Linked DNA regions of Oryzias latipes. The protein of the gene in region 2 purifies or fractionates together with the protein of the main gene of each other region. This does not show direct contact. Links are inferred from orthologs where the notes say so. Each region holds a gene or a part of one and is shown on either strand. Other genes may lie near its edges.

Evidence for each region.
Region 1: the proteins of phgdh (region 2) and epsin-1 purify together in Homo sapiens (affinity purification with mass spectrometry; 3 studies listed by BioGRID and IntAct, with this or other methods). This does not show direct contact. The link is inferred for Oryzias latipes from reciprocal best matches to the Homo sapiens genes PHGDH and EPN1.

The regions. Positions count from the first base shown.
Region 1 is NC_019874.2:19,874,784-19,879,281, forward strand, and holds the start of epsin-1, read right to left. Parts: upstream 2,806-4,498; 5' UTR 2,653-2,805; intron 2,646-2,652; exon of another isoform or gene 2,419-2,645; intron 1,967-2,418; 5' UTR 1,881-1,966; intron 1,632-1,880; exon of another isoform or gene 1,559-1,631; intron 1-1,558. UniProt on the Homo sapiens protein: Binds to membranes enriched in phosphatidylinositol 4,5-bisphosphate (PtdIns(4,5)P2). Modifies membrane curvature and facilitates the formation of clathrin-coated invaginations. Regulates receptor-mediated endocytosis.
Region 2 is NC_019879.2:21,728,295-21,732,867, reverse strand, and holds the start of phgdh (D-3-phosphoglycerate dehydrogenase), read right to left. Parts: upstream 3,062-4,573; 5' UTR 2,987-3,061; coding exon 2,699-2,986; intron 926-2,698; coding exon 774-925; intron 699-773; coding exon 633-698; intron 544-632; coding exon 489-543; intron 330-488; coding exon 231-329; intron 159-230; coding exon 26-158; intron 1-25. UniProt on the Homo sapiens protein: Catalyzes the reversible oxidation of 3-phospho-D-glycerate to 3-phosphonooxypyruvate, the first step of the phosphorylated L-serine biosynthesis pathway.

The DNA.
Region 1 (4,498 bases), on a different chromosome or scaffold from region 2:
CTTTATGAGCTTTAGAGGGAAGCGTCCATATTTTTTAAAAGAATCGAAACACATGCAGCTTACTAGCAAGTCCTTTAAAACTTCAAGAGGTCATTGAATTAGGTTGTGAAAAAGATCTGTTACTTAAAGTTCTGTAAACAACTTCCCTTATTTCACCACTAACAGCTAGAAACCAAAAGAAAACAATGGTTATAATAACAATAAACTGTAATTATAAACACAGCTTTTCTAATAAAAGCATAAGTTTAGGTACAATGTCGTTAAAACCTACAATGAGTCAAAAGGACCAAAAAGTAAGGCTGAGGAGTCTGGGGTCAGTAAGCTGTTGTTTTTATTAGTGCTTTCGTTTTTAAAATAATCACAGACATGACCTAATCTGTTTTACTTCATGCTATGCATGATTATGTGAAATATTATGAGGCCCACCGTTTCACCCCAGGCCATTCCCTCTTGTGTATCGTTTGTTCTCAATTGCTTGCACAGCAGGTTAAACCATAGTTGCTGACCAGATGTATCCTTTCCCTTTTGTACTTTCCCTAACAACTAAAACCTCAACTTTTGGTACAAAACCACAACAACAACAAAATGGATGCAACAAACCCCAAATTTTCTAGAGATGCAATTTGAGTTTTCTTAAAAATGAAGAGGTGTGATGCAAAAAGCAGCAAATTGATAATTTCATTAATAGGTGGTCATGTAAAGGGTCTTGAATTAACTCCAATACTACATTGTTTTTCATTTGTATACAAGTAATGGTACGAGAAGATCAGGCTCATTCATCTATACCAACTGTAAAGAACACGCAACAAATATATTTATAAAAAAAACAAATTTAAATGGAAATGACTGATTATGGAGTGATACTAAAGGGATTACAATTTCAGAGTCCACCAACAGTTTGACTAAAAACAGTGGATTATGAAACATCATGATCCACTTTTTTGAATGAATAAACCATCAGCATGCTAAACTAAATATTGCAGCTAAATGTTACAGTATCTCCACACACTTAACATTTGTAGTAAAAGGGTGTTTTATTTTAAGTCACAAAAAACAACAGCTTAACCCTAAATCTTTTAATTTTGAGAGACGAAAAAGCTAATTTTGCATTATTTTTGCTAAAATAAGAAAGAAAAAAAACACGTCTTCATTCTCCCCCCAAACCTTTAAGAACATATTGTCTATCACGCTTCCCATGCACTTAACAGAATAGTGCAGTTATTTATTCAGGAAAATGTTGGCAAGCCTAACATGAACTACACCTATGTGACATAACACTGACCTGCATAAAGATTGCCGCCACTTTGTTAACTTCTAATGACAGCAGCTGATAGCAGGACCACTCCCTCAACTTGCTAGTAACATTGATAAAACTAAATTTGCTCATGATTTTAAGCTCATCTATGAACATTTACTGACAACTTTGATTTATGATTATTTTTACAGCTTTGACTTCAATCTCAAAATCTAAATTTTGAAAAACGCGAATTTCATTTAGTGGTTAACTATTTTTTAACCTTTGTCACTCGCAGCATGGCTGAGCAAAGTACAAACACACCTTGTGTGTAAGGTTGAGGTTCTGGAATATGTTGACACTGAAGTTAAGCAGCTGGAAGGTTCAACTTGTTCTACTAATAAAAACAAACAAACAAAAAAACATTCAGCTCAGTTACATCTCGGGAAAAAAAAATCGTAATATTTTTGGCAATATTAAAACTAACTTGGCTAGTAAAGCTAGAACTAATATAAGATAATACATCCAGGCCACAATTTAAAACTTAACATTAAAAAAGTGAGAGCTCTGGTATTAGCTTGATTGAAACTTTTAATTTAATTCAAACTAACATCAAGTAGCAGAGCTGACACTGAACTCAACTTACTTTCAATTATTCCTCCTCTCTTGTGTTATCATGCAGTTGACGGTGCGCAGGCCCGTAAAGAAAAGGTTTCCATCCAGATAACTAAACTGTAGATAAGCCAACAACCGTTACCCAGTCAGACAAAATTGGATTTTGCCTGTCACACCTATTAAGTTAACAAGCTAAAGGTTGGCTAGCAACCTAATATTAATACACGTTATGCAACTCTTAACGTATGAACGCCTTTAAAGAAGCCAAATAGGTACAACACCATTCAGCAATTATACAGAATACTATGGTGTCGCCAAGTCTTTATGTGAGACAAAAGTTAAAAACAAAAAAAAAAACACGTAACTAAAAGTAGCTGTCATTTTATGGCTAACATTAGCTAGCTAGCATATGGCTAATCGAAACAGTTTGTCTAAGTAAAGTCTAGGTAAACTATTAACTTGGGTCCACAAGACGGGAGCAAAGAAGCGGGCTAACTAATGCAAACCAAATAGAAATCTTCACGTCATATCGCTGACCCTCAGCAGAGTGAACACGAAGGTAACGTTACCTGACAGTTTCCCATACCAAGAAATCACTTGCTGCTCCTTGAATGTAACTGTTAGCTAGCTAGCTTCTGATGCTAGTTCGTGAATGCCATCTGACTGCTTTGTTGTGCGGCATTTAAAACGCGTGTTCTGCTGCGGGGGAGTGTTGAAGACACTCATCAAAAAGTCATATGGGCAAAACTGTTGGAGATGCAAACAAAACAATAAATAAATACCTAAATGAAGTGTGTACTAACCCTGTTGCAGCTTGAATGTACGAGGAGATGGCCGAATTTCCGCTTCCGTGCTTCCTTACAGGAAAGACCGCACCCCCTGTAGCTGTGTTTTCATCATGCCATGCTGGTATAACTCATGATTAATTCATATACTTTTCACACCAGTCACAATTCAAAACAGCCCAGAAACAAACATAAAAATGCATTTTTTAAATTTTATTTTGTTGCACAAACCTTGTATTAAAAATCATGCCGCATTTGAAGCTGTTTAGTCAAAGGAAAGAAAAGTAAACACGAAGTCCTCCATTGATTAAATAAATGTTCTTCTTCTATTGTTTGTTTTGTGCACGTGTACGAGAGCCCTGCCTTCATTTAGGTCAACTAAGAAGAGTGAATATAGAGGAGTCAATTAGAGACAAAAATAGCTAACAAATAGCAGTGCCTATTTTTGCAAAATTTTAGAAGCATAATAACCTTGGTTATCCATCAAACAGAGAAACTGAAAGCAGAGTATAAAAATCAAGAACTAACAAGGACAAATGGTAACAGAAACATCAGTTGAAACTTTCACTTCCTTTATTATTTATTTGTCTGTGTGCATGTTAATTTCTTTTTTTCTTTCTTTCTTTTTATTTTTACATAATTGAAAAAATGAATTGATTTAAATATCTTTTAAATTGTAACAGAGTACACCTTAAATATATTGATTATTTTTACTATGTGAGTATTTTGTTTATTTTTAAAAATGCAATGAATGATTTTGTCCACAAAGAGGCACCATTGGACTACCGTATGTCTTGATTTAAACGAAGCCACAAAAAGCCTGTGGCCCGTTAGTGGAGCCATAAAAACCAAACAAGAAAACAGTGTTGAAAGTTTAGTTCAGGATTTTTTTTTAATCCCTTTATTTAGAAAAATTGCAATTTTGTCATAATTTACTAGGAGACTATTTTTTTCTTTTTTTTTTAACTCACCAACAAGATGGCACTATTTTTATTTGTTGTACAGAAAAGACAATGTTTAATTGTGACTTTCAATCATCCCATTTCATGCTCTCTATGTCACATTTTCATCTTATTCAAAATCTACTAGGAAACTGATGCAGAGGACAATTTGCATTCTAAATCCTATTAGTAACTAAATGCCACTAATTCTAGCTCTTGTTACTTGATTAAACCAGTGGATGATGTCACCATCCTGTTTGTTTCTTCTTTGTGCTCATTAAACTTGTTTTTTCTGTTATTATTCTTATAGCAGTTCTTGGTACTAGTTGTTTTTTTTGTGTTTATTTTATTACAATTATATTATAGGTTTTAAGGAGAATGCATCATGTGCCTTAAGGACAAAAAAAACAACAAAGTTTTTGTTAAAGAAGTGAAAAGCTTCAGCAAATTTGACAGTGTAACAGAAGATGTTCCTTATGCAACTTCCCAGTAAGTGTCAGGAAAGCTCTACTAGATCCCTCATCTGAGCCTAGTTTCTATACACGCTGCTCCCCTGTGAGCGAGTATTTCTTTCACTTAGTATTGTGAGCTAAAGCTGTTGGCTCCTGATGTCAGCTTCATAGGAGAGATGAAAGCTGTGTTTCAGAGAGCAGAAACGGGTTGTCACAACAGAGGCCAACGGACCCCAGGGTGGAGGTACAAAGGCGGGAGCGCACACTGGTGATAAGCATAACAGTGGTGTGAGAAATCCAAGCAGTGACCGCTCGTTGTGATGGCAGCCAGTGTTTGTGTTGCATAACGCACAGCCGCCAGACCAGTGGCAATAATAGTCCCGAAACTATGCACTAAGTGAAGTCCATTGAACTGAATGGAAAGAGGAGGGGGGTGTCGAACATGTGGGAGCCTTAGGAAAGACTTGACCC
Region 2 (4,573 bases):
ATTCCCTGAGAAGAACAGCGCTCACCAACAGTGGAGGGCATGAGGGGAGTGTGGACAGTAATGTAGTCACACAGAGGCCATAGCTGCTCCAGCGACATCTGCTCCACCCCCCAGCTAGCTGACACCTCCAGTGGAGTAATAGGATCATAACCAACAGTCTGAAAAGAGAAAAAACCTGTTCATCTTAATATTACTCACAAGTCTCAGCGTGTTGTATTTCTACAACCCACCTTCATGCCAAAGGCTTGCATTCTCGTGGCAACTTCCTTCCCGATTCTTCCAAGTCCAACTATTCCTAGAACTTTGCCATACAGCTCTGAACCCATGAACTGCAGTGAAGGGAATAAAGCACCCAAAATCCAAACAATGAGAACCCAAGTGTCAGATGTGATTATTAACCAGCGGATGAACAGTGGAACCATCCATGCAACAGCAATTGCTTTATGAGCCGAAGCAAACGAAGGGCTAGATGGAAAGCCTCTGTTTACCTTTTTACGGTCCCAGTTCCCTTCTTTCATTGACATTACAGCTTGAGGCACATTCCTAAAATTAAACAAAAAAATTCTGATTAACAATCCCCTTGCTAATAGCAGGTCTGCTTACCGATGGTAGAAGAAAGGTACAGTTTGTACCTTGAAAGGCTCATCAGCAGTGCACATGTCAGCTCAGCGGCACTAATTGTGTTACCGCTTGGTGTGCTGGGAAAAAACAGTGGAAAGTTACACTGGGCCCTTCACGGTGACCAGAATCAGTATTTAAAACTGGGGACTCACTTCATGACAATGATGCCCTTATGGGTAGCAGCATTTACGTCCACATTATCCACACCGGTCCCAGCTCTCCCGATGATCTTGAGATTATGAGCGGCACTGATGATGTCAGCTGTTACTTTTGTTGCAGATCTGACCACAAGGCCATCATAGAGCTAAAATGTAAAGAAGTGATCAAAAGGCAGATGAACAAAACAGCTGTGATGTATAAAAATTTTACCCCACTTTATTATGAAATCCACTTAAATCCTGAATGCTGTTCAACAACATGACCATAACAAAAACTGTTTATAATTTATTTTGTGCCTAGGACTAACTTCTGATTAGCCGACTATAATGAAAATGGTGTTTTTGGTGTTTTTAACATGTTCTTGTGGCATTTTTCTGATGATGGAGGACATGTATAAAGATAATTCAGCGTAAAACTGCATTTCTGAGTATTTCTTTATTCAAATCACTGTGAATTTGGAGCAGATGCTGCTTAAAAGGGGCTTATTTGTGACGTCGAAATATGCAAGGTGGGATCACTATTAAAATAGCTTAAAAGATGATCAGAGGAGGTCTTTTAAAAATTTAGCTCTGTTATTTTTTGATTAACCACTAAAAATATAATTCTTGCAATCAGAACTTCAACTTATTGATCCTTTATATTGCATTTTTTTTAAAAGGAAGAAAAAAAAGTTACTTGTGCATTTGTGTTACCACTGTATTTTGTGGTTTAGGAGCATTAGCACAACACATGAAAAGTAGCACACTACAAATTAGCAACAGACAGAATATTATGTGTGCATAAAACATGAACGAGTAAGCTATCTTTGCTGTAATGCTCTACAGTAACTTGTGATTGAAGAACTTTTTCCTTCAAAGTCCCTCTCCGATCAGAAAATCAAAAAACCTGTGACATTTTCTAGGACATACTTTCTGCAGAGCTGTAGTAGTTCATTAGAAATTTGCTTCTGAGCTGTGGGCGGGACTGTTGGCTTGGGAGTAAGCCGGCCCCCTTCCAATCTGTTTACATGCTTTCCCACTAGTTTACAGCCCCTCCCACCCTCAACAAAAAATTACTGGTGCAAAAAATTAGCTAGCAATATTGGAGCTATCCAGCTGTACAGTTTTGAGCCAGATGCCAGCTCAGACCAGGAAAACAAAGACGTTCATGGATCTCTTTGTCTGCAAGTGGATGCATTAGAATAGATCGGAACAGGGGGCTTGTGGCTTGCCTTGGTAGCGTCTGCATCGCAAATCTTTTTCGCGATTGCCTGATTCACAATTATTTGAATAAAGAAAGACTCAGAAAATGCTATTTTAGGCTTAAATTTCTCAAAGTTTGTCCTCCATCATGAGAAAATGCAGCAAGAACATGTTAAAATGCCAAAAACACGATTTACATCAGAGTGGATCTTTAACTATAGATGTTCAATAAATTTACAGCTTTATAGTCTTCTACCTACATTTTAAACTGAAATCTTATAAATGGTGCCCATGACTTCAATTTGGCCCAAGGACTCAAATCATGACGAATCCGGCCCTGGGAATCAGCTCCAATAACAACAGTCATTCAGATGGAGCAAATAAAAAAATAATTGAAAAAAAGTTCAGCAACTTTTCTTTTCTTTTATTAGATTGGATGTAATCTGATAAATTTTACAGTTCAAGGACACAGCTGGTTCGACGGGGGTGCGCAGAGGAATGCGTCTAAAGAAAAGTCAAAGATGAGTTGCATCAGCCTCCCGCTCTCCTATAGGGCGGAACTGAGCTGAGATCATCTGGGTAATCGGACTCCACGTGCAAAATCCAGCAAGCATGTCTCTACATGCATCCATTAAAGCACGTTATCGAGATAAAGGACGTACGCGCAGGAATACGGTGCGTGAGAGAAAAGTGCCCCGATGCCCTCGGAGCCTCCACAACAAAAGACCCGCTCTTACCCCAATCTCTGCAATCAATTCCTCTTTCTTCATGTTCTGCTTCTCCGTCACTAGGATGCCGTTTTCCTCCAGGATCGCCCTGCAGCGGGGATCGACACTTTCACTGATTAGCACGGATTTGATGGAGGTCGGGGCCATCTTGGGATTTTTCTCTGTGGGGTTGCGGATGCGGGGCAGCCGGTTAGGAGAGTTGGTGAACTGATGATGATGATGATGATGGGTCCTCTTCAGAGTTCCTCCCCCAAAACCCCTAGTCTTTTGAAACGGCTTTCTCCAAGCTGAAAGCATGCGTGGTCCCGCCTCCCGCACATCACCCGTTCAGGCGTGACTGGAGATGAATTCGAAGAGTCACTCTTTAGAGCTCTGCCAGCAGAAAACCCACTGAAAAAAAGCACCTCTTTTTGCAAAATGAAGAACCAAAACAGCTGCGATGGTTATAGTTTTATGTAGGAACTCATGAACTAGCGCAATAGTTGTAACCCAAGTGGCTTTTAATTTAAAAAAGGGCAAAAAAATGTAGGAAATACAATGGATAAAGGAGTGAAAACTGTGTGTACTGCTAATTGCTGGAGAGATTCTATAATGTAAGCACTAATATTGAATAAATAACTTTATTGGTGCTGAATTAACTGAAGAAGATGGGGAAAAAACAAAAACAAACAAAGAAAATCTGGTCTAAATAGCAGAGGATGCTACAACTTCCAAAGGTGCCAGAATAACGACATAATGGTGAAACAGGTAGAAAAAAAAAACAATATTGTTTTAAAAATGTTATAGATAATCATAAAAAAATCTTAAATTGTTTGAAAAAAATCTAAAAGGAAATAAATGTGTAAAATTGAAATTGGAAAAACAAAAAACTCAATAGCAATAGTTGCTTATGATAATTATTTAGTTAGTAATGCAAAAGCCAGGGGTTATATAAGTTTGCCCCCTCCCATTCCCTTTCACGCAATCAATTCAACTACTTTGGTCAAACCTAATTGTTTCTTTGTGTGATGCAAAAGAGCTAATGATTAAGAGTAATAAAAAAATTTTTTTATGTGGATGTATGCACATTTTCCAATCAATTTTATGACTAATTATCCCATATTTGATATATTTCTGCATAGATTTCAGTTGTTTGTTTTGTTTTTTGCTTTCTTTTGCTTTGATATATACACTGTATATGCCACAAGTAACTTTTTAAAGTGTTGACAAAAATAAGAACTATAAAGCCAAAAATCTACAGAATCGATAAAAGTCCAAATTATCTTTTTTGCAGAAAGTATTCTATCTTTCTTTTTTCAATTTGAGAACAAAGTTTCAACAAGGAATTTGTATCTTAAAAGGGACCATAAACTGAAAGTGCAAGTACAAATCTCCAGAAAGGGCAAAAAATTGAGACAAAACTTAGCGCCTCGTTTTCTATTTTCCTCTTTTACAATATTTAATGAGGGATACATATCTTATTTAGTCACTGTACCTTTAATCATGTGGTTTAAGCATGTAGCATTTCAAATGATAGTCAAAGATTTGTTACTGTGTAACGCCAGAACGAAGAGAGAAACCAAATTAAAAAGTATACTTCTTCAATTTGTCCAGAAAATCAGATCATGTGACGCTAGATTTAAGACACTGTTGATCTCCTGACTCATTAAACAGCATATGACAGGCTGTGTAATCTAATGTTGGCCTATAGGTCATTCAGCATATGTCTAACCACATCAATATTAATACAGGGATTTTTTTTGAATTTATAAAGTTTATGACCAATTTACATTTTTTTCTCTTTTTTTTTCAGTCAAACATTTATTATGGATTGCATTATTTACTTTATTTTAAAAACAACTTTAAGAAATGACACAAGTATTTTCATAGTTACTATTGGCTTAA